Linked DNA regions of Caenorhabditis elegans. The protein of the gene in region 2 interacts with the protein of the main gene of each other region in a pairwise test. Each region holds a gene or a part of one and is shown on either strand. Other genes may lie near its edges. The genes, in order: C17E7.4, mig-5, C18B2.5 and tac-1.

The links.
Region 1: the proteins of mig-5 (region 2) and C17E7.4 interact in a two-hybrid assay, tested with the Caenorhabditis elegans proteins (3 studies listed by BioGRID).
Region 3: the proteins of mig-5 (region 2) and C18B2.5 interact in a two-hybrid assay, tested with the Caenorhabditis elegans proteins (2 studies listed by BioGRID).
Region 4: the proteins of mig-5 (region 2) and tac-1 interact in binary tests that used the Caenorhabditis elegans proteins (3 or more experiments, as listed by UniProt).

The regions. Positions count from the first base shown.
Region 1 is NC_003283.11:3,889,144-3,895,986, reverse strand, and holds C17E7.4 (BZIP domain-containing protein), read right to left. Parts: upstream 3,134-6,843; 5' UTR 3,129-3,133; coding exon 3,051-3,128; intron 3,001-3,050; coding exon 2,365-3,000; intron 1,919-2,364; coding exon 1,642-1,918; intron 1,597-1,641; coding exon 1,493-1,596; 3' UTR 1,414-1,492; downstream 1-1,413. Other genes in the region: sre-9 (Serpentine Receptor, class E (Epsilon)), read right to left, coding at 77-234, 929-1,026; C17E7.12 (uncharacterized protein), read left to right, coding at 3,981-4,099, 4,768-4,912; C17E7.9 (uncharacterized protein), read left to right, coding at 5,126-5,325, 5,741-5,824, 5,882-6,008, 6,056-6,227, 6,280-6,361, 6,412-6,604; C17E7.13 (uncharacterized protein), read left to right, coding at 6,734-6,843.
Region 2 is NC_003280.10:8,180,428-8,188,124, forward strand, and holds mig-5 (Segment polarity protein dishevelled homolog mig-5), read right to left. Parts: upstream 4,597-7,697; 5' UTR 4,582-4,596; coding exon 4,543-4,581; intron 4,477-4,542; coding exon 4,328-4,476; intron 4,274-4,327; coding exon 4,120-4,273; intron 4,079-4,119; coding exon 4,003-4,078; intron 3,951-4,002; coding exon 3,473-3,950; intron 3,431-3,472; coding exon 3,308-3,430; intron 3,262-3,307; coding exon 2,936-3,261; intron 2,888-2,935; coding exon 2,363-2,887; intron 2,213-2,362; coding exon of another isoform or gene 2,200-2,212; coding exon 2,051-2,199; 3' UTR 1,896-2,050; downstream 1-1,895. Other genes in the region: dylt-3 (DYnein Light chain (Tctex type)), read left to right, coding at 1,391-1,397, 1,443-1,882; cct-1 (T-complex protein 1 subunit alpha), read left to right, coding at 5,019-5,094, 5,139-5,562, 5,607-5,912, 5,958-6,614, 6,773-6,959; T05C12.8 (ANK_REP_REGION domain-containing protein), read right to left, coding at 7,186-7,407, 7,462-7,584. UniProt on the Caenorhabditis elegans protein: Plays a role in the signal transduction pathways mediated by multiple Wnt genes. Functions redundantly with other dishevelled family members throughout development.
Region 3 is NC_003284.9:3,604,595-3,613,951, forward strand, and holds C18B2.5 (G domain-containing protein), read right to left. Parts: upstream 6,499-9,357; 5' UTR 6,497-6,498; coding exon 6,404-6,496; intron 6,346-6,403; coding exon 6,286-6,345; intron 6,236-6,285; coding exon 6,086-6,235; intron 6,039-6,085; coding exon 5,796-6,038; intron 5,748-5,795; coding exon 5,670-5,747; intron 5,605-5,669; coding exon 5,511-5,604; intron 5,235-5,510; coding exon 5,068-5,234; intron 5,015-5,067; coding exon 4,708-5,014; intron 4,001-4,707; coding exon 3,918-4,000; intron 3,863-3,917; coding exon 3,639-3,862; intron 3,583-3,638; coding exon 3,420-3,582; intron 3,374-3,419; coding exon 3,038-3,373; intron 2,387-3,037; coding exon 2,285-2,386; downstream 1-2,284. Other genes in the region: C18B2.4 (GRAM domain-containing protein), read right to left, coding at 1-247, 295-456, 505-622, 673-786, 907-1,009, 1,079-1,140; del-9 (DEgenerin Like), read right to left, coding at 8,803-9,013, 9,309-9,357.
Region 4 is NC_003280.10:14,750,749-14,756,765, forward strand, and holds tac-1 (Transforming acid coiled-coil-containing protein 1), read right to left. Parts: upstream 3,130-6,017; 5' UTR 3,128-3,129; coding exon 2,899-3,127; intron 2,836-2,898; coding exon 2,499-2,835; intron 2,447-2,498; coding exon 2,230-2,446; 3' UTR 2,143-2,229; downstream 1-2,142. Other genes in the region: smg-9 (Nonsense-mediated mRNA decay factor SMG9), read right to left, coding at 369-674, 1,511-1,741; Y54E2A.4 (Activating signal cointegrator 1 complex subunit 3), read left to right, coding at 3,921-3,957, 4,017-4,237, 4,285-4,482; Y54E2A.5 (uncharacterized protein), read right to left, coding at 5,231-5,518. UniProt on the Caenorhabditis elegans protein: Involved in microtubule formation, polymerization and assembly, regulating microtubule nucleation and length. Plays a role in pronuclear migration and mitotic and meiotic spindle elongation during early embryogenesis.

The DNA.
Region 1 (6,843 bases), on a different chromosome or scaffold from region 2:
CAGGCGTCAAGCCCTTAAACTTGTCTACTACTCCTACCTAGATCAAAGCAAATGATGTTCATGCAATGTGACTCACCGTCCAAACCTTCCCTCAAAATGATGAATGGCTGAATTACCCAAAAGCTTAGTTGAATCAAGTATTGTCCGTAATAGAAAGCGTTGATAATTCGAAAATTTGGATGCATGTTTTTTGCGGTGAGTATCACTAAGAACCAGAAGCTTATGGAAAGAAAACTGAAAATTTGTAATTGAACAAAAGAAAATACAGTCGCGACAGAACGATCGCTCCGCCAATTTTGCATGCGGCAAAGGGGCGTGGTTTATTGGGGACGGGATTCCGGCGCAACCCTGCGGCACGCTTTTTTCTCGCTTTTTTCGTGCGGTAATTTTCAGCTATTTTTTTTCGTTTTCTGTTCGAAATTTCACGATTTCGCTCGATTTTGTTCGTTTTTTCGCATAAAAAAGTGTTCAACTATTTTTTAAATGAAAAATAACCAAGTTTTCACAGATTTTACCCGAAAAATGCTTTGTTTGTCTCTTTTTTTGTAAATTACGATTGTTAAGAGAGAAAATGGGGGGAAAAAAAGGAAAATGTGAAGAGAAAACGTTTTTTTTTAACGTTTTGCATCGTATATTACAGAAAAAGAGACAAACGAAGCATTTTTTCAAGTAAAAACTGATAAAACTTGGTTATTTTTCATTTAAAAAATAGTTGAACACTTTTTTATCCGAAAAAACGAACAAAATCGAGCGAAATCGTGAAATTTCGAACAGAAAACGAATAAAAATAACTGAAAATTACCGCACGAAAAAAACGTGCCGCAGGGTTGCGCCGGAATCCCGCCCCCAATAAACCACGCCCCTTTGCCGCATGCAAAATTGGCGGAGCGATCGTTCTGTCGCGACAGTATAACGCGGAAACTCATACCTAACAATAATAAGCAAAACTTCAAATATCAAAAACCCCTGGAAAGTATCCCAGCTTCCGACCTGAGCAGCATGGGTTCTGTTAAAGTATCCGAGCATCTCTGGAATTTTTATGAGCAATTTCTAACAAAAGCGAGGTAAAACTGAATAAAAAATATAGTAAAAGTAAATGTAGTTAGGCGAGTTAGGCAATGTTTGGCCGATATACATAAATACGAAAAGCGGAAATTATCGAAGACGACCCACACGAATTGTGTCCCTAGTGACGGTGCCCGGCGGCAAAAACAATATCTCTCAATATATTCGCTTTCTGTGAAATCGGCGCGAAAAGCATAAAATCGAATATAACATGAATTGTATTCTAATGGACTTGTTATCCATTGAGGACAGAACGAAATGAGGAGGGAGCGTGAAGAATAGGACGAGAAAAAAAAATCTAATCCCTATAAATTGAGAGTTGTTCGATTTTTTGATTCATCGTTCTTTCAGGACTTACTAGCGGTTTATTAAAATTGAAAAAAATAGAATTGACAAAATACAAAGATATACATTAATTAATAAATAGTTAGTTAGTATTGGAAGCCTGTGGGCTTGAAACAAAATAGTCCTGCTCTTGACGATAGTTTTTGACCTCGTCCTCGTCATCATTGTCGTAGGAATTTGTGGGACCTGAAAAAATGATAGAATGTTTAGAAACAATTTATCAGAACCTACCATTAGAAAAGTTCTTGAGAAAACTGACGTCCGACGGATTAACAAGTGATTCGCCGGCGCCATCGCTCCCGTTTGTCGTCGGCGTGTGGCTCATCGAGCTGCTGCACAGCGAAGATAGGTTCTCATTGTACAGGTAGCTTGGCGGTCCACTATTGAGAAAATCCATGGAACGATGAAATGGAAGTGGCGGGTTGGGATAGGCGAAGCTTCGTGGAGCAGGAAATTGTGGAGTTTGGAATGGAGATGGCAGCATTGGATTTTGGAGATTTTGCATAGACTGAAAATATGTTTTTTGATAATTTAATAATATTGGTGGCCGCTAGCAATCTAGAGGTCACGAGTTCAAGCCCTTCCTCCCAATAGGCTCACCCAGATTGAGAAGTAGAACAATTCATTGTTGGTTTCTACAGTCTTCGGCTTAAACTCAGCTAAAGCTAAATACCAGGGGAACCACCACCCAGAAAAGGTTCCGATCTCTAGTGTCTAGGACACCGTATTTTCTGAAAATGCAATCGTGCCCTAATGGGAAAATTGGGAGTGGCGAGGACCTTTAGAGATGGATGGTGCAGGCCTAGAAGGATATTTGAAATTAACGTGATGGAGCAGGGTGCAGGGAAATAAATCGTTGAATTACCTTTACCCGAGAAGAATTACAACTTAAAATTTTGCAAAGAACTTGGAGCATATATGGTAGGCGAAAAAATGAAGGCCCCGAAACTCTACCTGAAATGCGCCATAGCTCGGAGACATGGTCTGTAGTTGCTCGCACTTGCTCTCCAATTGCTCACATTTTGCCTTATACCGTCTCATCTCCTTCTTGTACTGGTCTCGTTCCTTTTTCAACTGCTCCAGTTGTTGAGCCGACGCCATACAATAGGCCATATTGGACATCACGCTTTGAATGCTTTCTCTCTCCTGTTCATACCGTTCCTGCTTTCGCCTCTCCTCACGCCGTTGTTTTTCCGAATTCTCCCATTTTTGCATGTAGTACCGGCTTTTTCGTTCGAGCATCGCTTCATTATCCTCATCATCACCTTCTTTTTGATCTCTTTTTGCAAACTCCATTGATGAGGATTCCCGAATTTTATGATTTCTAGATCCTCGCTCAAAGTCATCAATTTGGAAATCTTGCCGGCTCGAGCTTGAAGCTCCAAGTGGGAAGGTCCTGGGCAACTTGTTGGATCTACTGTAGGCAGCAGCATTGAAGTCATCACGGCCGCCCGGACAGCTTTGAGGCCCTTTGCGAAGTTTCGGTGCACTTGTCGTGTGATAGGCGGCAGTCGGTGGGAGCATACAATCATCGGCAAAACGGGCGGTTGGCTGACGTTTCAGCGACATTGAGCGTACGCACGGATTGAACTGAAACCGGGGGGAATCGATTGAAATAATATTCGATAAAAGGTACAAACCACTGTGTAATCGTCGTCGTTTTCGTTTTCCTTTCGGGACTTTTTGCCCTTGAAAATTGTTCGAAATAGTCCAGCCATTTTCTAAAAATCTTTTCATTGCTTTTTGTGGAGATAAGCTTAGGAAATTAAAATACATTCTTATTTTTTAAACGGGAAGAAGAGTAGCTGTGAGAGTTTAAAATTCAAAAAGAAAAACTGTTTCAAAAAAAAAATCGATCCGTCCAAAACTAGGTCATCCTTTGCGGGAGAAAGACGAAAACAACTGGGCTCTCCTCTTCCCTCATCTTCTCATTTCCCGCCTACCACTGAAAAGGTCAGAATTCTGCATACACCGTGACGCGCACATGAACAGAACCGCAGTCGCGCGGAGGAGGAGGAGGAGGGAGGTCCCATGTTTGTGTTTTTGCGCGCGCGAAGGAGGGACTATTTGACCCACAACGCGGGCGCTCAGGTTTTGTAATCATTTTCTTTGTTTCTTTTCTGTTGTACTCCTCTGTTGCGGTTTTTTATTGCCACGTGAATAGACAACACTTTTTGCTCAGTTTTTTTTTTTGAAATCTTGAAATCTTGAAATCTTTTTTTGAAAGTTTGAAAAATTATCTCGATTTTCTCAATTTTAGCTTGCGTCTGGTGCCACTCTTCAACTTTTTTTTGAGTTAGAGACTTTCTAGATTTGCAAAATAGTTTCTCAACTCATTAAAATCATTAGGAGTAAAAAAACAAACTTGAGCCGAAATACATGATTCTGAGAATCTAAGGATAAGTACCTAAACTTGAGAAGTACTCCTCTTGTGTTAAATCCTATAATTTTTATAATACGTATATTTGAAATTTCAAACAATGTGACCAAAAAGTGGTGTCAATTTTTCTCCGTATTTTGTTTGTTTTCTACCCCTCATTTCATTCAAACAAATTTTTTTTGCAGCAAAAATGGATAATGTTCTAAACATCAAAAACGAGGAGGACTGGAAATTTGTGCTCCCCACGTTTGGACCAGCTGCCGGAATCACACTTCTCGTTGCTGCCGTCTCCTTCTCCTGTCTGGGATAGTAAGTTTCTTTGTTTTCCTACCGGTGTAATCGCGCGCTAATGAGAAAGTTGAACGACAAGGGGACATGGAAGGGTGCAGCACGTGGTGCCAGGTTGCCCAATCACGGTTTGATCAACAAAAAATGCGGGAAGTTTCCGGCCAAAAAAATGTGACGTCAGCCTGATCTTAACCATACGAAATCAGTTGAGAAGTCTGCGTCTCTTCTCCCGCATTTTTTGTAGATCAACGTAGATCAAACCGAGATGGGACACTCTGACACCACGTGGTGGCAACATATTACGAAACTATGAGATCATGAGAATGCCTATTGACTGGCCCGAAAATATTGGCAGGCCGCAGCAGCGAGAGAGCGTGTGGCAAAGAGAGACGCAGGTCCCTTCGCTACGAGATATTTGCCGTCAGAAAAGTAGGCATTCTCATGATCTCGTGGTTTCGTAATAGAGAGATTACTAAAAAATAGCGCAGTGGTGCATAAATCAAATTTTGACTTCACGGGCACTGAAAAAATCTAAAAATCTTAAACCCCCGAAACACGTGAAATATTTTTTCTCATAAGTGTGACGTCACACTGGAAAGTTCTTCCATGACGTCACACTACCGTAAAAAGAGGTTTCTATTTATTCTAGAAATCCCATTGAAAGCATGTAATGTAAAATTAATTTTCAGTCATTTCTACCGAAAACGCCAAGCCGCCATCGAGGAGTCCAAACGTCAGGGAGCTGAAAACCGACAGATTCACGAGAACATGCGAAGAGAGCGAGAAGCCAGCATGTCGCCACAGGACATGCCTATTGAGATGCAAAATTTCTAATTGTCACTTTTTTTGAATTCTAATCTTGAAATATAATCTTGATCTCAAAATTCTTTGTTCACAAATACTTCTTAAGTTGTGTATGATGTAAATTTGATTGATTTTTGAAATTTGCGATTCCATTTTTCATTAATTTTAACCAACGACAGTTTGATCTGGAACATACCTATGATCTATGACCAATTTTCTTATTGTTTTCATATCAATTTTTAGATGCGCTGGCTCGTGTGGCTCAGTCTGTTCCTGCTCCCCATCGCTACTTCGAAGGTTACTCAACAGGAGGCGAAACCAACATTCTGGCATTCGGATCATGTGTACGGTCACATCGCTGAGTTCTTCTGGTGCCGAACAAAGAAAAAGGCCGAGGAAGCAGGCGAGCTTCTTGGTCCAGTTCGACAGGCTCTTTTTGAACAGTGAGTTGGGTTTTGAATTAATCCATGATCGTCAGGCTACCATATTATTTGAGGTCCTTATTTTGACATTACCTCTAGAAAATTACATTCAAAATTGAATTTTTCAAAATTTTGACTAGGTCAGGTTTCAGTAGACCTTCTTGGCTAAAGGTCTAAAAAGGTTTACCAACTTATAGGTCATTTCCTGGGGTAATTTCAAAATTAGGACTCCAATTAATATCATGGGCTGACATCTGACGGGTTCCCAGCTCACTACGAGGTAATCTTAGTGCGGAGCAGAACCCGGTAGATGTCGGGCCATCAAATCATTTGGGGTTCTTATTTTGGCATTACCTCTAGAACATAACCCTAAAAGTGAGATTGTCCCAAGGAAAATTTTTTATTTCAAGTCACGGGTTTCTAGCCTTCCTCACTGAATTTTCCGCGCTCCATTGACAATCGCCTGCCGGACAACGCGTGGGAAAATCGTGTACTCCACACGGAGAGATAATTGTCTGGCGTAGGTGTTCCAAAGTTTGCCTAGAGTCTTGATCAACAGCACACACACATTTTTCAGAGGCAGTGCGCTCAATGAGATGCTGCGAGCGGAGAACCGAGGTGAAAATTCGCAGGTCATCGTCGAGATGGTTGTTCTGCAAGAGGAGGAGAAGTACAGAGACTGGGACCCGATTTGGATTCGAAAGGTACCGCCTAACTGTTCAGCTTGATAAAACTGTGTTTCCAATTTCAGAAAGAGCCGTATGGCTTCTCGCGTATTCGAATTTTCATCAACGAGCCGTCGGACAGCGAGGTCAGCAAATTCTGCAAAACCTGGCCATATCCGACGACTGGTTTCCCGACTTTGGTGGCAATTAGCGAATTCTTCTATGCTCCCGTGTTGGTTTGCCAATTTGGAGTTCCAAGTTAGTGAAGAATTTATTTTCCTCAATACTTTAGAAAATAATAATTTTTTAGCGTGCGATCTTGGCAAGATGCTCCTTATCATTTGGATCATTGTTACTTTTGCCATTGCTTTCTGCGTCATGACTTGCTCACTGTGAGTATTTTGATTCAATACATATATGAAACCAACATTTCAAATTTTAGGTGGAACTCTGAAATTCTGGTACTGAAAAAAACGGAAGATTCAAGGCAGTTTGGAATGCAAAACTTGGCTCGCGAGAACGTTCATGAAGGCCTTGCGGACGGAACTCAGGTCACTACAACCGTATTCAGAGGCCCACGAGAAAATGAGGGAAGAGTCGTGCTCAATCGCGGCTGCAAGCCAATCGTTCGCTGAAACTAGTACTTATCAATTTGTGTGTATTTATATTTATGTATGTGTTATTTCTCTCTCTCTCTCTCACTCACCTTCTTATCAGTTTGCGTGTGTACTATTACTATTATATTGTGTTCACTTCTTATTCATATGAAACTTTTCCAAGTTCTTCTCAGTTGTACTATTATTCTACAATTCTCAACTCTAGAGTACTCCCGCTTTGGAAAAGTTATTGAAGTTCATTTTGAGATAATTGATGT
Region 2 (7,697 bases):
TGTCAAATAGAGTCAAGATTAGAGACGCTTCCGTATGGGAAATTCAGATCCGATCAGTTTATGAAAAGATCCGTATTTTTCCTATAACTCACTGCTCTACTTTGAAAGCTCATATCTCGATTGTCTTTCGATATATCAAAAATTGACTATGAAAATATAGAAAAATATGTGATACCTTTTTGCTGTTAAATATCTTTTGACAAAATCAAAGATAACCGGCATGAGAGCTGTCAAAGTAGAGCAAACAGGATACAAGACTAATAAAAGAAATATAATAAAGGTGCATACATAAAGCATTCACTATAAAATAACTATGTTTTCCAATTTGTTTTCAAGAAGTTGCACAAAGCCATTTTAAATTAATTTTCATTGTTATAATTGAATATGAAGTTAAATTTTTCCATTCCAGAATTTACAGGAAATCTAATTAAATAGTTTGAATGGAAACAGAAAGAAACGTTCCACAAACCTTGATCAAGAGTCTGTAGACATTATTGAGGTGCGCATATTACAAAAAGATTTATTGAATGATAGATATAAGAGGGATAAGTGTTAATGACCGGCTCATCTACAAACAATTAAAGGATGAGAGAAAGTGTTTGTGATGAGAAAGGCAAACTTGCCATGACGGACCGGAAATACTTTTTGTCTATTGGACTGATGATGACTTTTTGGATATTAGAGGAACTTCAAAGGTGAAGGTTTTTTTCAGTAAATGTTTTGGTCACTTGCTACATTTCCAAAACTGTGCATTTTCTGAGTAATTCGCATCACATTTAAGTAAACATTTAAGAGTTAATGAAATTTCAAATTATGAGGAAATCATAGTAGGAAGCAGAACATTTTCCGTAAATCACTGATGGCAAGCTAATCAGTCAGCTTTCCCCCCACTATTCCTTCGAACCGTATTTCCGTCTTCCACCACCCACCTTTGTTAGCTCAACCGACCCCTGCAAACATGTCAATTTCGGATACGGAACGCCATCAACATTACACAATTTCTGTGTGTCCGGTGCTCCAAACTGGTGCACTTTTAGTGTAAAATCTGGTACAGAGCCGCGGAAACAAAACAAAAACTTAACAACACATTTTATAATAAAATTAATTTTTTCGCTCCCGGTCGGAGATGCTGTGCCCACACCTTTTTGCATTTAAAAACAATGTTTCGTGTCGAGACCAGGTACCGTGTTTTTGGCACAAAAAGCGCAAAATTTTCGGGTCTAATTGTAAGTAATATTTTGAATTGGCACTAAACACTTCGCCTTCAGAGCGTGTTCTAATTACACGCACTGTTAAAAAAATTTATACCAGATTCTAATATATATATCAAATTTAGAAAACAAATGTTTATCGCATAACTTTAATTATTTCATTCATTCCTTGTTTCAAAATGACAGGTTAGTTTTCTTTGTCACATTATGCAACATCATTTGAAATTTTAGACACTTCTACAACTTCTTCTGTAGCAAAGCGGCAAATTGAATCAAAAAACGCTCAGCTTTTGAGACAATTGATTGAAAAGAAAAATAAGAAACTCAAAAAGAAAGTCTATTCAAATGCCGAAGAACAAGAAATTGATTTAATTATTCAAAAATCATTTGATTCAATAATTGGTAAAACTCCATATTCTCCATTCAAAATGTCTGATTGGATGAGCAAGATGATCCAAACAATTTCGGATAATTTAGTGAAGCTCAATGGAAGCAAAAAGTTTTTGGTTCATTGTACTATTTCTGCAAAAACCGATAATCTTGCAATTTGCACGGCCAACATGTGCTCCTGGGATACTACGAAGGATACTGCATACTACTCGGAATGGATGTCTAAAACTATCTTCGGTGCTGTCCAAGTCTTCTTCATCACACATCGTTTTTCGAAGTGAACATCGTCATGAAGAAATTTAAAATAATTCATAAATAGACTCAAAATTACATGAATGAATGAAAACGTTAGTCTTACTGAAATACATGAAAACAGGGCATAGTTTTAAATATTAATAAAGCATGTGGGAATTAAGGCGAGAATCGGTAAAGGCAATGAGTTTTAAATTTTAAGTCCGTAAAATACGCGTTCTGCTGTTGCTACTGTTCTCCCCGTCGAAATCGTGGTTGACTGCGTTCTGCGACTGAATCGGAGAAGCTGCTAGAACCATAGTACTGGATAGAGGAGTCGGCGGAGGGCCTCCTAAGCCACCACTTCCTGGAATTTGTAACTAATTTGGTTGGGGAAATACTGTTATGTGAAAAGTCATTTGGATACAAAGGGTACAGTAGTCAAGAAACAGCAAATACTATATCAATTGAAATGAATATTTGCTTCAAATTTAACTCCTGCACCCTATAGAAACGATTAATTTTCTCACCGTTTGTCAAGCTTGAGGATGTCACTTGAGAAGGTGCCGGTACCTGACGGTGATTATTTTTCGTCCCAAAAACATGATAATTTCCGACTGGATTCATTCCAATTTGGCTTTCTCCGACCATCGATGCGTAATCATTTGTCATAGGACTCTCACAATCTCGACGTCTTCGAAGCCATGTTTGGTCATGAGCAACTGGGCTTAGAGTAGTGGTTTCTAATCGATGAGGAATATTTCTTCCAACTCGTGCTGCCAGAGCATGTGGTGCTGGTGAGCCAACATACGTCACTTCAGTAGTTGCTTCAACTCGCATTGTAGTTCCACTCGTACCAGTGGTGTCCGTGGAATTACGATCATTGCCAAGAATTCCATCACCGAATACATAGTAGCACTTTTCTGTGAATGTCAACTTGCTGACGACATGTCTGATAAGACCAGCAGCTAACAATCTCGCAGCATAGATTCTAGCTTTCTTCCGATTATGAATATCAGCCATGTGATCAACGAGCCAATCGACTAGATCTCGGCCTAAACGTTGATTGTTTGGATCCTAATACTTGAATGTTCAGTACTCACCAATAAAAGACATTGGAACCAAAATTTTCAGCCATTTTCGATTTTTGACAGCTAATCCTGAATCCGGACGAGCCATAGAACGAACAACAATAATGGGATCAATCATTTCTGTGAGTTGCTCTATTTTTTCATTTTGCTCATTTTCTCGTTTTCTTTCTGCTTCTTCAATCAAAGCTCTTGGAATTCCATTTCTACGTTGATCGTAAAGCATTCGCTCCTCATCATCAGAAGCTGTCGATGTAAATGGAAGAGTTCCGTCATCAATTGTAGTTGCCGTTTGCTCCTGTGGATCCAAACCCAGAGCTTTCATTTTTTCAGTGTTCTGCCTGTAAGTATCAAATTAAGAAAATAAATCTTGCGAGGTACCCTTACACAGCGGTTTCTACCCAAACTCCAACGTCGAGGGGCATCGTTTCAGACGCCATGGACGCGAGTGGATCATCATATTCACTTGGGGCACCTCTTGCAAACTTACTGATATAAAGAGTAATTGGTCTAAAAATTAAAAAAAATTAATGCTAATGCGTAGAAAAATACCTTTTGGAGGATGCAGCTTCTCTGAGCGAACGAACTGCTTGAGGCCCACTGAGTTCTTCAAAGGATACTCTATTAACTTGAAGAATCTGATCACCAACGTTCACACGTCCATCTTTTTCAACGGCACCTTCTGGTGCAATTTCGGAAACGAATATATGACCATCAATTGTGCACACGCTCAGTCCCAGATATGGAACATTTTTCATTGGTAGATAAATTTCCAGAATTCGAGGGAGGCCGCTGTTAACACTTGATTCCGTCGCTGAGCTAATAGTACTTGGAACATACGGTCTTCTGAATCTTTCTTTCTTTTGTTTTTTCCTTCTTCTATCGTCATCGTATATCTTATTCATATCACGAGCAGCGAGAGGTTCGTAGAGCGAAGAATCATCTCCTGTTCGACGTGTATGCTCGTCATATTGATACGGATCCTCTGAATTTGAAGTGTATAATTCTGCCAGATGCTCTCCTGCTCTTCCTGAAAAACGTTCATACAGGTTTTTAAGAGTACATAAATAGCAAAAACTCACTGCTAACAATGGTGCTCGGAGCAAGACTAGCATCAGAGTACGGAGTCGCGTCAAAGTCTGCACTTCGTCGGCGGCGCTTAAAATATCAGTTTTTTTTGAAAATAACAGAAATCGAACCTTATCTAGAGCAGTTCTCTGTGGTCGCGTCATTGTTCCACTGTTTCGAGGAAGAGTTCCATATCCTGGAGTGCTAACGAGAAAAATCTCATAAAATCCATTCTGGGATTTGCGCAGCCGATCCGAATCAGTTGTTAATTCGACTTTAACTTCTCTGAACATTTTTCAGTACAGAATAATTACAAAAATTAAAAAAGCCAAAACTCACCGTTGAATATCCGGGTCAAGTTCCTTCGCATAATACTTATATCCACGCTTGGTGAATGAATTTTTGAAATTTCCAAGCGTCGCTACTCCTTCTCTGGCTTCAATAACAGAAACATAGGGAGTCGTTTCATCGTCGAGATAGTAGAAGACCTGGAAGAAAATTATTTCTGTTTAATCACTGGCTTAATAAAAAACAATTCTGATCAAAATTCTTACTTTTATCTGGCTGCAGTCTGATGTGCATGGCGGCTCCATAAATGTTAGAAATCTGAATTCAATATTTTAAATTATAGACCAATAAAATATTTATAAAAATTACAAGAGGAAACAAAAAAAACAAATTTGTTTGCAAAGGACTAGCGGAAACAATTTTATTTTTAATTTATCGGCAATAAATCGCGGGTGGGAACAATGTTGCAAATACGCCCTAGTGACAGCTGGTGTTGGGTCTCGGCACGATTACCCTTCTAGCATGCATGAAGTACGATGCGCTCTGAGAATATTCTACAAGAATTTTAATTTTGATTCAGAATTCAAGGGATCCCCGATTTTCTGGAAGCATTTTTATTTTTACTGAAATATTTTCATTTTTACGTATATTTTTATTTTTGAGTGCTTATTCAAAGCCCCTTTTTGACTCAATATCGAATGTCCTACTCTATTGCTAAGTTAATACGGTTGTGTTTCAGGTAATGGCATCAGCTGGAGATTCCATTCTTGCCCTCACCGGTAAAAGAACTACTGGACAAGGCATCAGATCTCAGAATGGTAACACCGAAAGCTCAATATAAGTATACATTAATTAATTGCAGTCACCGCGGCAGTTGCGATCGCCAATATTGTGAAGTCATCTCTTGGCCCTGTCGGACTTGATAAAATGCTTGTCGATGATGTTGGAGATGTCATTGTCACAAATGACGGAGCCACAATTCTGAAACAACTCGAGGTTGAGCATCCGGCTGGAAAAGTGCTTGTAGAACTTGCACAGCTGCAAGACGAGGAGGTCGGAGATGGAACTACTTCTGTCGTTATTGTGGCGGCTGAGCTCTTGAAGAGAGCCGATGAGCTTGTGAAACAAAAAGTTCATCCGACGACTATTATCAATGGTTACCGTCTCGCGTGCAAGGAAGCCGTCAAGTACATTAGTGAAAACATCTCATTCACTTCCGACTCGATTGGTAGACAATCAGTTGTCAACGCTGCCAAAACTTCCATGAGCAGTAAGATTATCGGACCGTGAGTTTGGTGTTGTCTATGCTTCAAGAAAATTGATTTTTCAGAGACGCCGATTTCTTCGGAGAGCTGGTTGTTGATGCCGCGGAAGCTGTTCGTGTGGAAAATAACGGGAAAGTCACTTATCCTATCAATGCAGTCAATGTTCTGAAGGCCCACGGAAAGAGCGCTCGCGAATCAGTTTTGGTGAAAGGATATGCACTCAATTGCACAGTTGCCAGTCAGGCCATGCCACTTCGTGTTCAAAATGCCAAGATCGCATGTCTCGATTTCTCTTTGATGAAGGCTAAGATGCACCTCGGTATTTCAGTCGTTGTTGAAGATCCAGCCAAGCTTGAGGCTATTCGCAGAGAGTGAGTTGAAACTATTCGTTTCTTTTTAAGCTATGGAATTTTCAGAGAATTCGATATTACCAAACGCCGCATTGATAAAATTTTGAAAGCCGGAGCCAACGTTGTTCTTACAACTGGAGGTATCGATGATTTGTGCTTGAAGCAATTTGTCGAATCTGGAGCTATGGCTGTTCGTCGATGCAAGAAATCAGACTTGAAGAGAATTGCCAAAGCTACTGGAGCCACATTGACTGTTTCCTTGGCTACTTTGGAAGGAGATGAAGCTTTCGATGCCTCGCTTCTTGGACATGCCGATGAAATTGTTCAAGAAAGAATTAGTGACGACGAGCTCATTCTCATCAAGGGACCGAAATCTCGTACTGCCAGCAGCATTATCCTCCGTGGAGCGAACGATGTGATGCTCGATGAAATGGAGAGATCGGTTCACGACTCACTCTGTGTTGTTCGTAGAGTTCTGGAAAGCAAGAAACTTGTGGCTGGAGGAGGTGCTGTTGAGACTTCTCTCAGTCTTTTCCTTGAAACTTATGCACAAACCTTGTCTTCTCGCGAGCAGCTTGCTGTTGCTGAATTCGCTTCAGCGCTTCTCATCATTCCGAAGGTTTTGGCAAGCAATGCTGCAAGAGATTCTACTGATTTAGTGACAAAACTCCGCGCGTACCACTCCAAAGCTCAATTGATCCCACAACTTCAACACCTCAAGTGGTAAGTGAAAATGTTTTTTTTAAAGAGTAGGTTATTACATGTTAGCTTAATGTAATAAAATTAAAATAATTTATTTCAAAAAATTTCGTTTTGTGCTTAGAAAAAGCGTCTAATTCATGTTTTCTGAATTTGAGTCAGTTTATTCACTCTTTTTTTAGGGCTGGTTTGGATCTCGAAGAAGGCACGATCCGCGATAACAAGGAGGCTGGAATTTTGGAGCCAGCTCTTAGTAAGGTCAAGTCTCTGAAGTTCGCCACTGAGGCAGCCATTACGATATTGCGTATTGATGACCTCATCAAACTTGACAAGCAAGAGCCACTTGGAGGAGATGATTGCCACGCTTAAATTTTCCCGTTTACCCCGTTTATATATCCCTGTTTTCCGCGTGCTTCTCACATAATTCCGATCTGCTGCTCCTTATCCCAAATTCTCATGTTCAGCTTTTGTTTTCTTCTTTTGATGATACTTTATTGAACGAAATGTTGTAAGTTTTAATGTTTTGATTTCAAAGTTGTTTGTATTCGTTTTTCATTATTCAAACAATGAAGAAGCTTTGCCACATTTAGTTGTATTACTCATCGCCGCCCAGTGATGTGAAATCGCGATTTTTCGGATCACTGTTAGTACGACGGCGTAGGCTCAGTGGAGGGAGACGGACACCATTAGCAGTGCTGACAGTACTGGTCATCGGTTTATCCTTTGATGACCATCGGAACAATCCACTATTCGATGGACCTTCAGATGGTGGCGATTCCGATGATGATGAGTGTTGTGGAAGTCTCAAGTGATCCTCCTATAAAGAAAGAACCAATATTTTCTTTCAAATTGATCATAAATCTAGGTTTACCTCATTTGAATTTCCACTGGTTTGATATGACAATGGTTTGTTGGAAATTGATGAAGATCTGACAGCTGGTGCTGCAATTCGATCCGTTTGAACAACGGAAAGACTTTTCGTATGAAGTGGAGGCTGAAACGTTTTAAAACTGTAATAATGTTATCCTGACGTGCAATTTTGTGATCATTGCGCTGAAATTACGGTACCCGGTCTCGACACGAAATTGTTTTCTTTGATACAAACGG
Region 3 (9,357 bases), on a different chromosome or scaffold from region 2:
ATATTGTTATAATCTGGAAGAGTAGAAGGATGAGGAGCAGCTCCTTGTCCGACGTTGAATCCTCCCTGCGGTGGTTGATTAGTTGGATAAGGATGGTATTGTCCTGGCTGTTGAGGTTGTCCAGGGTACGCCCCAACATTCTGGTACTGGACGGTTCCGACTGGCTGGAATTGTCCGGCAGGATACGGCGTGGTTTGTCCGATTCCTGGGTATGGTGGAGGCATGTCGTAAACGTAGACGTTTTGTGCTGGAAAACAATTTGTTTCGAAGAAATTACTACGTCATAAATCTTACCAGGTGGGCGCTCAGGAAAAACGTTCGTCGGAGCTTGGAATCCTTGGTATGTCCCTTGCACCAAGTAGTATGTCGGTGGAGCAGCATAGTACGTAGTGCCTGATTGCTGTTGCATATTTCCACCATATGCTGGTGGAGCAGCAAATGGACGAGCTCTAGATGCTGAAACAGAACCAAAACATTGATGGGAACTATTCAAGACAATCGTACCCATGTCAGCAGCGCGAAGAAGTGCCTCTCCAAACTCGATGCATCCTCCTTTCGGGAAAGACAAACGCCATTCCGGACATCCATCAAAGTTGCCTCCAGGCATTGGTTGAACCCATCCCTGAAAAATTAAAAATGTGACTGCAAGTCATTTAAGATTGAAAAAAAAACCTTGAGATAGTTTGGGGTGAGAAGTGGCTGTTCAAGTTTCACATCTCGCACTGAATTGAATGGCATCGCGAAGGATTTGAACTCATCTTTCTTGCTCTCGTTCATGAAAATTATCTGAAAAAATAAAGTTGAAATATTTGAAATTTAGGATCAAACGTTTTGGTTTTCAGCTAAAATGAAAAAAAAAACCTATCCAGAAATGAAAATTTGCAACTCAAAAACTTTAAAACTCACTCTGTGTGAAGTGAGATAGAGGGCTCCCGACTTGGTGGACTTGAACGCAGGAACATTGTACTTCTCGAACTTCAGCTTTACATTTGTTGTGTAGAGAAGAATCCTGAAATTATAAAAACTTATTTCATAATTTGAAAAGAATCAGTTTTGAGAAAGAATTTAAAAAACTTACATTTCTCCATTATAAATCAAAATGCCTTGGCCATCGGGTGTGTGCGACGTGTTGAGCGACATGGTGCTGCTGAAGAACAAAAAAAAATCAAAAATACTGCTTTTTAAGGAGGAAAATGGAATTAATGAGCAGATCGGGAATTGCGAAATACACGAAATCGACGAAAAACGGCATGGAATGGCGTGATGGCAACGTTTTCATACGGCGAGGGTAGCCAACACTGACTCACGACCCCGAGACCCGCAATGGAGCGCGTTTTCCATTGCCTTGTTTTCTGCGTCTCTCACAAGTCATGGCTCTCTAGTGAGTGGTGAGTGGCGAAAGACAAATAGTGTTTGCCATTAGATAGAGAGGGGAGTATCGATGCCATTAATCATGAATATGAAGGTTTATTATTATAAGGGCAGAATTGCCGGGAAATAAAGGTAATTAGGCAACGAGCTACTTTTGGAAAATTTTGAGTCGATTTTGGTCGTGTATTTAAACATTTCTGGAAAAAAAACAAGTAGTTGTATTAATTTGTTGAACAATTTGTGGTGAAAGTTAAAATAAATAAATAAGAGAACATTTATTATGTTAATTTGAAAGACTCTTAAAAATTTGGTGAATTCATTTGAAACTTTTCTGGTTTTTAAAGTAGATGTACTCCAAAGTATTCAAATGTTTCTTTTTTGTTTCTGTATAGTTCAACACATTATTATCCGGCCTAAGCTCCAAAAAGTTCGAATGTTATGTTCACAATTTTAATTCACTTTAAAATGAGTATCATCATTTGCTTTGAATTTTAAGGAACTTTTGAAAGTGATAGTATCTATCAATCTAGGCTTTCTCTGTACACTTTGAAAATTAAAATTTCCTGAAATTCGTTTTATACACTAGGTAATCATATTTGTAAAACTTGACACTTGTAATAGCGTTCCTCTTAACTGATATGTCGAAATTTCTAGAATTTCCTATAATATTATTTGTATTTTTGATTTAAATATCAATGAACAATATTATTCTGCCAAAAATTATATTAGTTCCTTAGCGAAAAGAAATGAAGCTGAAAAACAAAAAAAACGATTGATAGGGAATGTTTATCGAGTCGCGTTGGATAAAAATGTTAAGTCGAACAATAAATACAAAATGAGTGGATCGGAGATTAAATTGAAACCATTGAATCAGAAAACACAAATAATAATACTAATAATAATAAATTGTTTTTTAATACAACACTTTATCAGCAAACACTGGAGCTTGTTCGACTTTTTGTCCCTTGTTGTGTCGGAGGATGGCAACTAGTGGGTGGACAGTTTCTTGCAAATCCTGAAGTGAAAGATTTAATAAGGTAGTTTCAGAAGCATAGATAATAAGCTGACCTATCAAAACCGCAAAAATTAATATCATCTCTCACATTCGAACATTATTAATACAATTTTGAAAAGTGAGTTAATATGAGTTAAAAACTTGATATGAAAAAAGCTTAGAACTAAACCGAAAACAAAAATATATAAATATGTTTAAAAAAATTATTTAAATGTTCATAAGCACATTTGAAAAATTTTATGTCATAATTACTATAAAAACCGGAATAGTTTTCATGGAAAGTTTTCTATTTTGAATATTTGAAAGCCTTCCCATACATATGAAATAAATTAAAATTATGCTGAAGTTGGAGTTCAAAATATGTTAAAGTTTCATCAGATACAGTTTTTTCTGCATACGTTTTTCAATATAAGTTTGAATTGAATTTGATCCCGGACGGGTTGAAAAATAATCTTGAGACGCCTCAATTTATACTTATGTTCTTTGCTTTCATGTGATGATTTTTGAAAGATGATTTTTGAAAGCCAAAATTACTTTTCAAATAAAGTGTACTATTTTCAGTTATTTTCAACTAAACCGAGTTAAATACGCAGACTGAGACACCTAGTATTTTCAGTTTTAAATTTCACTTCCCCAACCCATAATATTTACTCTGAAAAGATTCTCCAACGAAGCTGTTCCGTGTGTCCAGTAGAGATTATGTTGAAGTTTGGAAATTCCTGTTGGGAGTGGTGCGAATCCCGAGTTGTTAACTTTGTAGTATTCAAGGAAAGAAATGTTGGCCTGTGTGAGACTTTTGATGGCAATTGGCTGTGGGAGAACTTCAGAGTTGGTGATAATCGGCAGAACGTTTGTTTTCAAATCGTCTCCGAACATTCTCTTAACATCAGCCAACTCATAAATGAACGGCCATCCCAGTTGATTCTCGTCGTGTCTCAAAACAATTGAGATTGCATCAAGACGGAAGGATCCAGATTTGAGAAGCTCCTAAAACGTGAAATTTAGAATTTTTTGCAAAGTTTCAATAGTTCACCTTCTCAAACCACTGCTTGATAAGTCGCGAGACCGTCTTGTTGCCCATTTTGTCCTCAACCCCGGGTGTGTCAACAACAGTGACGTTATAAGGAAGAACAGTGTTGTTGAAAACGTAGGCGGTGAGTCCAGTGGTTGCGTTCACATGCTCGTCCAAAACAAATCTGAAAAAAGAAGAATAATGAACATTATAACATTGAAAATTAAAAAATTAAGTTACCGGAAATCATTCTCCTTCTTAACATCATACAAATAGTTCATCATGCTGGTAATAGCAGAAGTCTTTCCAGAATTAACTGGACCGAACAGGAGCAGAGTCTTGTCATCGTCACTTGGTGGAGCATCTCCTCCAATGATAACCTTGTTGATCTTGTCATTCTTGGAGAAGTTTTCAACAACATAGTATTGTGGAACAACGAGCTCGTATTTTCCGCTGCTTGCAATCTAATAATTTTTAAGAATATTAAAATAATTTTCATATGAAAAATAAATGACTTACATGTTCTCCTGCTGCCTTTTGTTTAGCAGCTAGTGGGCTGACACGAGCTTCCTCCTCTTCGTAGATGCTTGAGTCCACGCTCTCTTAAATATTCGATATACGCAATAGAAAATTTAAATAATATGTTTTACATAGAAGTTCGCACAGAAAACGTTGATTGTACTCAGAAAATTGAACAAACAGAAAATTGAAAACTGCCACACATTTTTGCAGGTGCATGGTTTTTTTTCTTTTAAATAATTTATACACTTTTGTAGAGTGTGTGCAGTACACCTGGCCCGAAAGTTTTAACCATTTTAAAAATGTTCGTGATTTTTTTAAATCTACATTAGGCATGGGATTAGTGTTTCCTGAGCTTAAAAATGCAAATGTAGTTCAAGTTTTGATTATATTATCATTTTTGAAAGAAACGACTGAAAGCGTATTGGATAATAGTTTTGGGTATGGTATACTACACAAGTTCCTCTAGAGCATTGTGATCTTTTCGGAAGTGTTTTGGAAAGCCTCAAACTTTTGTAAAGCTTCTAACATTTTTGAAAGATTTGAAACAATTTTACACTTTCAAAAAAAAAAAAACTATCACGGTTATGTCAGCAAACCGCAACCTCTTCAAAAGCTCTATATCAAATTTTACGAAAACTACAGTAATCCTACCGTACTCCTGCAGTACTCCTACGGTACACTCACTTCGACCTCAGAAAAATGAAGCCTGATTATCTTGTTATTTTGGCAAGTTTGAGTGTTTGTTAAGACCGTGTTTATAAGTCTAATTAAATTCTCTAAAACTTACTTGAAGAATGGCTGGATTTCGGCTGTGGCGGCAAATGATGATGATCGTGCTCATGGCTGTACGAGCGAACGTGGTAGCCTTGTGGCTTCGCACCTTGTCCAATTTTGTTGACCTTCAATGAAGCTTCACGAGCCAAATTAGCATGAGTCATGCGGTCATTGTCAGCGCGTTGACGGTCAACTTGATGAGAGAGCTGAGCTTTTTTCGCGTGAGCATCTTCAACTTGGCGTTGAAGATTTCTCAGCTTCTGGGTTCCACCAGTGTGGAACGAAGCTTGGGTATGGGAAGAGTACACACTTCCTGGTGACTGTAAAAAGACTTTATTAATGATAATGAAGATTTTTTTGATAATTTTCTCACGCTGAGCTCAGAACGTGGGCGTTCATATGCCACTTCGTCATGATGAAGGTTGATTTCTTCACCATGGTAACGGTCATGCTCATCGTGAACATCGAATTGTCCGAAACGGCTTTCAGCAAACGATGCGGAGCTATCGATGGTGTTGGAACGATCACGGTGTGGTTGTGCTAAAATAACTTTTTTAAACATACATTGATTATATGCAACTTTTTTTAAAACTAACTAGTACTATTTCGGATACACTTACGACCCGCTTGAGTATAAAAATAGTCAAACATTTTTGAGCAGACAAGAGTATGACTAGTTATGTTCAATGTGCATAACAAAAGCCTACACCACTGTTCACTCCTCAATAACTGACTCATAGCAGAAATATGACCGTTGCAACTTATTTACATGCTTCTACAATTTTTTTTATTTCCGTCTTGAAAAGTGACACTCACCCGTTCTGATTGGATATTGATGATTCAGATTGAAGTGGTCACTTCTCTCGTCTTCATAATCCGGCTGCGGCTCAGATCCGTAGGCGTCGTAGTGCTGAAAATTACGAACTTACTTTGAATTCAAAACAATCTATTTTCAACACAATGCAAATAACTTGCATAGCTTTGAGAATTGATATTCAAATCGTTGAAAACATTGTTCACGACGAGACTTCCAGTTCGTGCAGCGGCATGCCTCTAAAACGGACCAACTTACCCGAATAGTTCCTAAAAATTGAAATTTACCTTGGCAGATCCGTTTGACACTACGCTTGCGTTTTGTGGGTGATGTTCGCTTGCATACTGATTTCTGTGCGAGCTAACATGAGATGTAACATGTGACGAGCTCACATGGCTTGGAGCTTGAAATGGTGGCTCACTGACGATGGACTCGTGATCCTCACCATACAAAGCTTCGTCGAGATGACGGAGAGCATCGTCATGTCCTCCGTGCAAGTTGACAGTTGGCAGTGTCACAGCGGAAAAGACCTTTAAAACGTTGTTGTGAAAAGTGGTTCAGTTAAAAATATAGTTACCGAGTTCATCAAATCGTCATTCACTGGAGTTGCATCGTAGTAATGCGAAATTGGGGTGACATTGACTGGTGGTGGTGGAGGTGCAGATACTGCATGTGGTGGATGGGACACCACAGTTGATGTCGCATGTGATCGGATTCCGTTTCCAATCTGGAAAAGTTTACAAGTATTATGAGCTCTATACCATAATGAACTCTTACCGGAACCTCTCTCACAGTGGATACACTCGAAGCAGTTGTCTTGCGGCTTCTATTTCCAGACTGAAATTATTTTCAAAATTTATTGGAAATACAAAAATTCTGCGAAATTTTTGGTTACCTCGGAAGATTTCACGTTGGTGGCAGATGTCAACGCTGGAAGGTTGCCAAAGACGTCATCCAAGTTGATGCTGACAGCCGTGCTTCGCGACATGTCTGTACAAAAGACACAATAATAGGAGTTGTTAAATTGTGGGAATGGAAAAATCGAGAACGATAAACAGTGAGAATTAAGAAAAATAGCAAAACAAACTTATGCTACATATAAAATATGATTATTTCTGCAAACTTTGCTCAACTATCATCAAAGACAAACCATTCCTATTGTACTCCCCGTGAAATTATATTTGAAACAGAAAAACCTGGCTGAAAACGGAGATGATTGACCGTGACGAAAGATCGGTAAAAGGCAAATTGCACGGTGTAATGGAGTGCAAAGACAGAAATGGCAGAGCACTGCTTAAAAGTTTCCTGTCAAACCGTGTCGCTTATCAATGCGTGCCACGCATTACACCTTCTCGCGTCAGGCGCCAAAAACGTATTGTATATGCAGCTAACAACCGTAACAATGGAACGAGAGTATTGACGAGTTAAATCAAAATAAAAAATCGGTGGAGAGCGCTGAACTGAACTGAGAGTGAGAGGGGATAAAAACAAAGTTCGCGTGTTGTTTGCCGAGACTAGCAGATGGTTGGGTTTTATTTCTACAAAAATGAGTAGATGCCATCATAATTTTGGAACGGGTCAAATTTTACAATACATCCCAATTGAAGGACATAATAGTTTACAGTTTAATTTGACTAGAAAATGGAACGAAAGTTCTTAAGATACAATCTTTTAGTGAAAAAAAAATCAGTTTCCAAGGCATTCCTCGATTTGAATCCAAAATAGATTTAAGAAAACTTTTTTGTTTTACCTGAAAGTTCAAAAGTTCAAAAAAAAAGAAAAGAAAACATAGCTTCATTATTCTTTCAAAAATTGAAAATGTAAAGAGTGGAATTTCTTCTTTGTGATAAGTTTCTTTCCAGTTATAGAACCCTGAAAAAACATGATAAACCACACGCATATCAATTCTCTGCCAGTTAAGTTTCAGGACTGTTTGCTCGCATGTAAAGGACTGAACACATTATTGCTTTTATTGAGAACAACATTGCATAAGATTGAATACTTTTGAAAAGAGGGGAAAAAAGAGATGCTGAACAAAAAAACGTGAACTGAAATTGGAAGAAAAAGGTGAAACCCATCAAATACATGTCTAGCGGAGGAAGGTTGGAAAAAAATACAAGCGAAAACAATTGAAAAATGAATAAGATTCTCCCGAGTTGATACCTTGCATTTGCGCATTTTTTTTTGATAGAAAATGTGTTTAATAATCTAGCATGAGAACACAATTATTTAAAAAAAAAAAACTCAACAAAAAAAATTAAGACCATGGTTCTTAATTTTTAGGTACCCAATGAGTAAGCACTTTGTTTCAAAAAAACGCAGGATTTTTTTTAGTTTTGAGTTCAATTAAAATAAATTATAATTTCAAAACAAAACGGTTCCATAGGAAAAAAGTTATTTTCACAATTGCTTTCGTTGGTCATAATTTTATTAGAAAATAAATTCAGTTTCAAATTTTTCAAAGGAATACTAACAAGCCGTGGTGATGACGAATAATGTAAAAATGACCTGAAATGAAAAAATGTGCTGAACAAAAACAAATTCAAAAATTTTCATGGCTTTTTATTTTATTTTTCAATTTAACTAAAGTTAGTTGAATTTTGTTTGAAATTTTGAACCGCCATAAAAATTCTTTACACGAAATAGTTACAATTGAGCATATTCTGAGTCTATTCGTTCAAAATACCCAGAACCGTCAGTCCTATTTTTTGAGCAAAACGCAAATGCAAGATAGGCAAAAGATCAGTACAGTAGATTGCATGAAGGAGGTAAGGAAAATGATTTGTGCAAAAATTATATAGTTTAGCGGGAAAAAAGAAAACAATCAGTGGGAGATGCTTATACAGTTTGAGATACATTTTATAAAATTTGTTCAGGTCTTTTAGTTATTAAAATTGAAGTAACGCCAATAGGAGTTTTACCAGAAAATGCACCAAAAAAAATACCCAACATGGGTCAAAAATAAGAATTCTAAGTTTTAGCAAATATTTAAAATTGAAAAAAAAAGTTGCACTTGGATTTTCAAAAAGTTTAAAGTCGGAGCAACAAAAACGTGAAAACTGAGTTTTTTAAACTTCCACTATTTGGCACTACTTCACAATTTACACAATTCTTTAACATGTTTTCAAAACATGAAAAAATGAATCAGGAAACTTTTCTGTATAAAAAATTATCTCAAACGTTTAAAACACACCCCACCATTCAATTTAAAACTAAATTATACCTGAAGCTGCCCGCAACAGCCATACATCAGACAGTTCATATGGTTGCCACCATGCAGCTCCAGTCCTCATGTCATATGGGAGGCGTCGTTTCTGATGTGTGCGTCGTTACCATTTCCACATTTACCACCTTGCCGTTGCCGTTCCCATTGTGCGGTTTCGGTGTTGACCGACTGTGTGACGTACTATTTCTGCGACGTCGTCGCATGTCGCGTCGTTGACGAGCCTCGTGGGCTTCTCGTGTCTCTCGACACCTCCGCCGTTGGCTTTTCAACCCGCAGAACCTACAAACATTATTATTCGTTGATATTTATATTGATATTATTCGAGAACAATGTTTTGATCAGTTCTTTCTATTTAACGCAAATCTGAACGCAAACATAGATTTTATCAGGTATTACTTTGTAGGATAGAACACAAATATTTGGTTTCGATTCATCAAACTGATTTCGATTTTTTCGCTCTACTTCAAACCCTAAATATGACGGTTTACGAGACAAGGCAGCAACAATTCCTGTACATTGCTCCTTATCAGTTTTATCGCTTTTGTCATACAAAATGATAATTTAAGACACGTACTTGTGCATAACGTATCGGACAGAGTAGATGACAATTTGACACAGTGAAA
Region 4 (6,017 bases), 6.6 Mb from region 2:
ATCGGCAAATTGCCAGAATTGATTATTTCCGGCAAATCGGCAAACCGGCAATTGCCGAATTTCTCAACAAAAAATTTGCCGAAATTGAAAATTTCTGGCAAATCGGCAATTTGTCGAAAATGAAAATTTCCGGCATATTGGCACACCGGAAAATTGTCGGAACTGAAAATTTCCGGCAAATCGGCAAATTGCCGGAATTGAAATTTCCGGCTAATCGGCAATTTGTCGAATTTGTTGGCGAAAATCCGTCCACCCCTGATCTCATTAATTTAAATGAAAAACTAATTTCGTGGCAAGACCTTTACAGAACTTTTCGTGCGCCTTTAAACCAATTTTTCCGATTTTTTGTGTCTAAAATGCTTCCTCACATCACTCATCGCAGTGGAATCATCGAATCGTCCACCTCGAACCTTCGGAAGGCCTTCCATAATCGAAAAACTGTACATTGGCTGACAATCCAAGAAAATTTGATGATTTACAATATAAATATCGATTTGAATTGTTTGATGTCGTGATTGTTCGTTGGCTTCTCGAGAAACTGGCCGAAAAACGTATTCCCTGTACATTTGACGTGAATTATTCCCTGCCAACATGCTCAGCAATGTGGATTTTCCGGCGCCCTGCGGCCCGATCGCAGAGATAACGTTGAAGTTGGGGCTCGATGTGAGGAGATCCTGGAAAAATTACAAATGCGCTCCACGGTCAACTCCACCCCCGAATAATGGGTCTCGTTAGTTGTTTGGCGGCGAAACCGTAATTTTAAAAATTTTCAAGTTTTTCGTTTTTTTGTTTTTGAACTTTTTCAAGCTATTTTTCGTAATTTTTTTGTCAATTTTCAAGGATTTTTCGACCTTTTTTTGTCGATTTTCAAGCATTTTTTGTAATGTTTTTTTCAATTTTCTAGCAATTTTTGTAATTTTTTTGTGTCAATGTTCAAGTAGTTTTCGTGCTTCTTTCTTCAATTTTCAAGCATTTATCGTGTTTTTTTTTACATTTTCAAGAATTTTTTTGTAATTTTTTGTCAATTTTCAAGAATTTTTCGTGTTTTTTGTTTAACATTTTCAAGCAATTTTTGTAATTTTTTTTGTCAATTTTCAAGCATTTTTCGTTTTTTTCGTCGTCTTCTGTTTTTTTAATGTGTTGAAATTTTTTGTTGAAATTATAAATGATAAATGCTTGAAAACTGTCAAAAGGGACGAAAAATGCTTAAAAAATTGACAAAAAATACGAAAAATGCTTTAAAATTAGCAAGAAGCACAAAAAACTTAAGAAATTTGACAAAAAATGCTTCAAAATTGAGAAAAAACACAAAAAATGCTTCAAAATTGAGAAAAAGTACGAAAAATGCTTGAACATTTTTCAAATTAATTTTTAAAATTTTGGAAGCATTTGAATTTACGAGCAAACCCTAACGAGACCCATAGTTCGGTGGAGCGCGTTTTCACGTCTCCAATTTCAAGAAGCCATTTTTCTGCGTCTCCATAATAAATTATTAAAATAAAAAACACACTGAAATCGCATCGGAAATCTCTCCGAAATCCGTCAAAAATCGCACAGACTCCTTCATCGCTTTTTGCGATGGCTCGATGACCGTAGCGGCGGTAGGCGCCACGTCATCGGCCACCGGACGTGTTTTGATGGCGATTTTCGGTGCTCCATGAGTTGGGCTCGCTGTGGAGGGTCGGGCAGCGCCTCCTGCAGATGATGGCCGAGATGTTTTCAGAATTTCCACTTTTTTCATCTGGAAAATTGCAAGATTTTAATAGAAATTTTGAAAGTTTTGCATACATTTTAATCAAAAAATTCGCTCAAAATCCATGCGGCAGTCTGAAAAGAGGTGTGCGCCTTTAAAGATTACTGTAGGAATTTTATTGACTTTTATTACAAAAACCTCGTAACAACGCATAAATTGTTTGGAAAAACAAGTGAGAACTAAAAAAATCAAAACAAATTCGGCCTGGAAATTACAGTACACTTTAAAGGCGCACACATGCTTGCATTTGGCAAATGTTTTTCGTGTCGAGACCGGGCGCTGTATCTTTGGCGCGAAAATTTAGAAGATTGTAGTTTTTCTCGGTAAAATACTGAAACGAAGCCTTTTGTACTTGTTTCTCATACAAATAATCTGGAAAACAAATAAATAAGCTGAAAAATTCATGTACAATTAGAAAATATAAGGCGGAAAGCGAAAAGGCGGGGGGAAGAAATATTATATTTTACAGAAATAAATTATGCATCCGTCGAAATAACGGACATCCCATCGGAAACGTCGACATCATTCAGAAGTTGATCGCAAATCTGTGAGAGCTCCGACACGCGGTTCGTGAGCACCTTGATCTCGTCGTTCTTGCTGGAGAGCTCGATTTCCTGGCGTTTTACACGCAGACGGAGTCCCTTTGTGTTCTCATCGTGGGATCGGAGAAGATCGTCGTACTCCACGGATGCTCTGAATTGAAATATATTCTTACATGTTGCAAATTAAATTTTCTCTCACTCACCTCTCAAGCTCAGAATTCGCATTATCCTTGACGGCGAGGAACTTTGCCTGCCACTCGTCAACTTCGGCGGCGGCGAGCTTCAGCTTGTCCCTCGCGTCCTCGTACTCGCCGCGGATGTCGTTGGCGGCTTCGCGAACCGTGTTGAACGAGGCGAACAGTGTCGCGTAGTTGGCGTGGAGCTTGTCGGCTTCGGCACGGGCGGCATCTCGATCTTTCAGCGCTTTTTCGAGCTCCTCGCTTGATGCCCCGCCGCCTCCGATGCCGTTTCCTGGCGTTGTTCCGTTGCAGCGGCCTTGTGAGATGATTTGGCCGTTTGAGCAGCGACGGACTTCGAATTCTGAAATTAATATGGTTTTATTCCTCTTAAAATCTCTTTTAGCAATTTTTCAAAGCTTCTCACCATCCGAGTGCAAGAGCCGCTCGATCAACTCTGTGAGCGCCTTCGTCGTGTGCTTCATCACAATGATGTCGCCTCTCGTGGCACCGCACAGTGTCTCCACTGAAGAACTGGGCTCCGCGGCTTCTTCAACCTCTGGCTCCTCGTTCTCCGGATGCCCATTTTGCGACCCGTTGAATGGGATGACGACCTCGGTTCCGTCCTCTTTGGTGAAGGTTGTGTTGAGCGACATCTGAAAATCGGATGAATTTAATAGAAAAAACCGACATTTTTCGTGAAAAACGGAGAAAATTAACGATTCTTCAGTTTTCCCGCGTCATCATTTATTTTCGTGGTAGGAAAATTGTTTTGAAGATTAGTATGCGCCTTTAAAACTTCTGTAGTTCAATTTTCTTGTTTTACAAGGCTTTACAAGAGGGTTTCAAAATAATTGAAACAAATTTTTAATTAAAAAAGTCATTTTTTAATTTTTAATTCAAAAAAAATCAGTAAAAACCATAACCAACAACAAAAAAAGCACGAAAAAAGAGTCCACAAGAGTAATCGTGGCGGGAAAATCAATACAAAAATTGGACTGCGCCTTTAAAAAGTACTGTAGAATTTTTTTAAAAACATTTTTTGTTATCTTTCAATTTTCAATGTTTCTCTTCATTTTAAACTATTTTAATGATTAAAAACACATCTTTATTGCGAAAAAAATTAATATAATACACTTTTGCATAAAAAACCGCCAAATAAAAGTGCAGTTGGCCTAGAAAGCGCTAGGTCAGAGAAGGGAAGCGGCCAGGACCTTATTTTGTTCATTTTTATTAATTTTCACCTTAAAACAGAGAAAAAAACAAAAATATTTGGCAATTAAACAAAATAGAAATTAAAAGTAATTAAAACTTAAAACTTCAGAAAAAAATCGATTTTTCAAAAATTGCGAAATTTTGAACAATGTTTGAACATCCTTCTCTCTTGAAAAATATAGTTTTTCATTTTAATTTTAATTCTAATTTTACAGCTGCCAAACTAGGTACAAAATGGATCTTCTCAACTATATCGAACGAATTGGAGATGGTTAGTTAGCTTTTTTTCCATTTTTTTATTAAAAAAATTTTTACCAGATGTTTTTTCAGATCCACCCTCACCATCACGGGTAGCAAGCTTCCACCAGGAAATTCAAATTCGATTTCCATCGGAATTTCTAGAATGGTCGAATTGTGAAGCTGAACAAGAAGGTTTTTCAGAAGCTCCAGAAGCTCTTTCCCTACCCCAAGTGCCTTCTACCTCGGGCTCTGGGAGCATTTTTCAGCCGATTGCTGACACATTGCTTATATATTTTCCAGATACGTTTGAGGTTGATTTTCGGCTAAAAAATCAAGTTTCTAACCTATTTTCCTTCAGACAATATCCCAAAACCTTCTACAAATGTTGTGCTCGACACGTTCCGATATGGATCTACAGGGCGAGCTCATCGATCTTCTCGGCGTCGAATTGTTCGAATTAGCCGGAGATATACTCGAAAAACGGAATAAAATAGTTTTCGAGGTGAAGAGCCAGGAGCTGGCGAAAGTTGAGCATGCGAGGCAGGCGAAGGCGAAGGTAATAGTTTTGAAAATTTTAAAAATTTGCTCTAAATGGCAGAATATAACAGTGAAAAAATTTATAAAAATTTTCTAATTTTTTTTTGATTTTTTGAATTTGGTTTTCTGGCTGTTTTTTTTATTTTTTTTCCATTTTTTACAATTTGGAACATAATTTGTCAATTTTTCGGACATTTTTCCACAAAAAACGTTTTTCAAAAATTAAATTATCGATTTTAGGCTAATTTTAGAGTTTCAACAAGTTTTTTACGGAAAAATTTCTGAAAATTTTATAAATTTTGTTTAAAATTGTGACATAACGAAAAATAAAGAAAAACCAGATAAAACAGTCGGAAAACGCAAAAAAGGCCAAAAAGACCAAAAAGCCAAAATCAGGCCAAAAAAAAGGTCAAAAGAACTGATTTTTTTTGAATTCCAGAGTAAAAAAAGTGACGTCACTTTCGCGTTCTCTGACTTTAATTGATTTTTCTTCAATTTTTCAGCAAATTTCATTACGAAAGAATGTCTGAAAAATCCACAAATTATGTTTCAAGTTATAAAACAGAGAAATATCAATTAAAATAGCCGGAAAAACGCAAAAATGTCGAAAATGACGTCACTCGCTTTGCGCGGGAATTTAAAATTTAATAATATTTCTGTTTAGCCCTTTTTATTTTTGTTTTCAAAATATAAAAAATCATGACAAAAATTTAGAAAAAAAAAATTAAAAAACAACAAAAAAGATTTTCGCAAAAAAAAGCTCATATTTATTCGACCTGAATACAGTTCTTAAAAAACGAGATTGCCAACGCCAAAATGATGACCAACGAGGCTGAATATCCGATTCCTCCCTGAACACAACGATCATTGCAAATCACGAATTCGGACAATGTTCTGTGACGTTTCACATAGCGAATTGCGGTTGTATTCGTTTTTCCTCCGGATTTTCTAATCGATGCACCATGAGCTCCATTCGTTTTCGGTGGCTTGATTTCTACAAATTCCTGGAAGTTGACGGCTGCCGAGGTGTCACATCCGATGGCGTTTCGCACTTTCTGAATGAGAAAAGCTGTGAGAAATTGGTTAAACTAGGCGAATTTTCTACAAATTGCTTTATTAGACTTGGAATTGTCTAAAACGCCGAATCTCCTAATGAATCTTCTTGAAAACTTCTCAAAAAAAAAAAGTTATGACGGCTCAAAAAAAATGACATAAAATTCGTTAAAATTTGAAATTTGACTTGTCAGCGGCTGGAAACTAACTTTTTTGAAATGGTCGTCTAATTTTGGATGTATAAGTTAATTAACTTGCGTTTTCAACTCGATTTAGGTACATTTAAGGTCTTCTGGCCTTTCAAACCGAGTTGAAAACGCATGATAATTATTGTACACCCAAAATTAGACGGTAATTTCAAAAAAGTTAGTTTCCAACCGTTTGGCAAGTCGAACTTCTAGTTTTACTAATTTTAAGTAATTTTTTGAGCCGCCATAACTTTTTTTGAGAAGTTTTCAAGAATTTTAATTATGAAATTCGTTTTTTAGACAATTTCAAGTC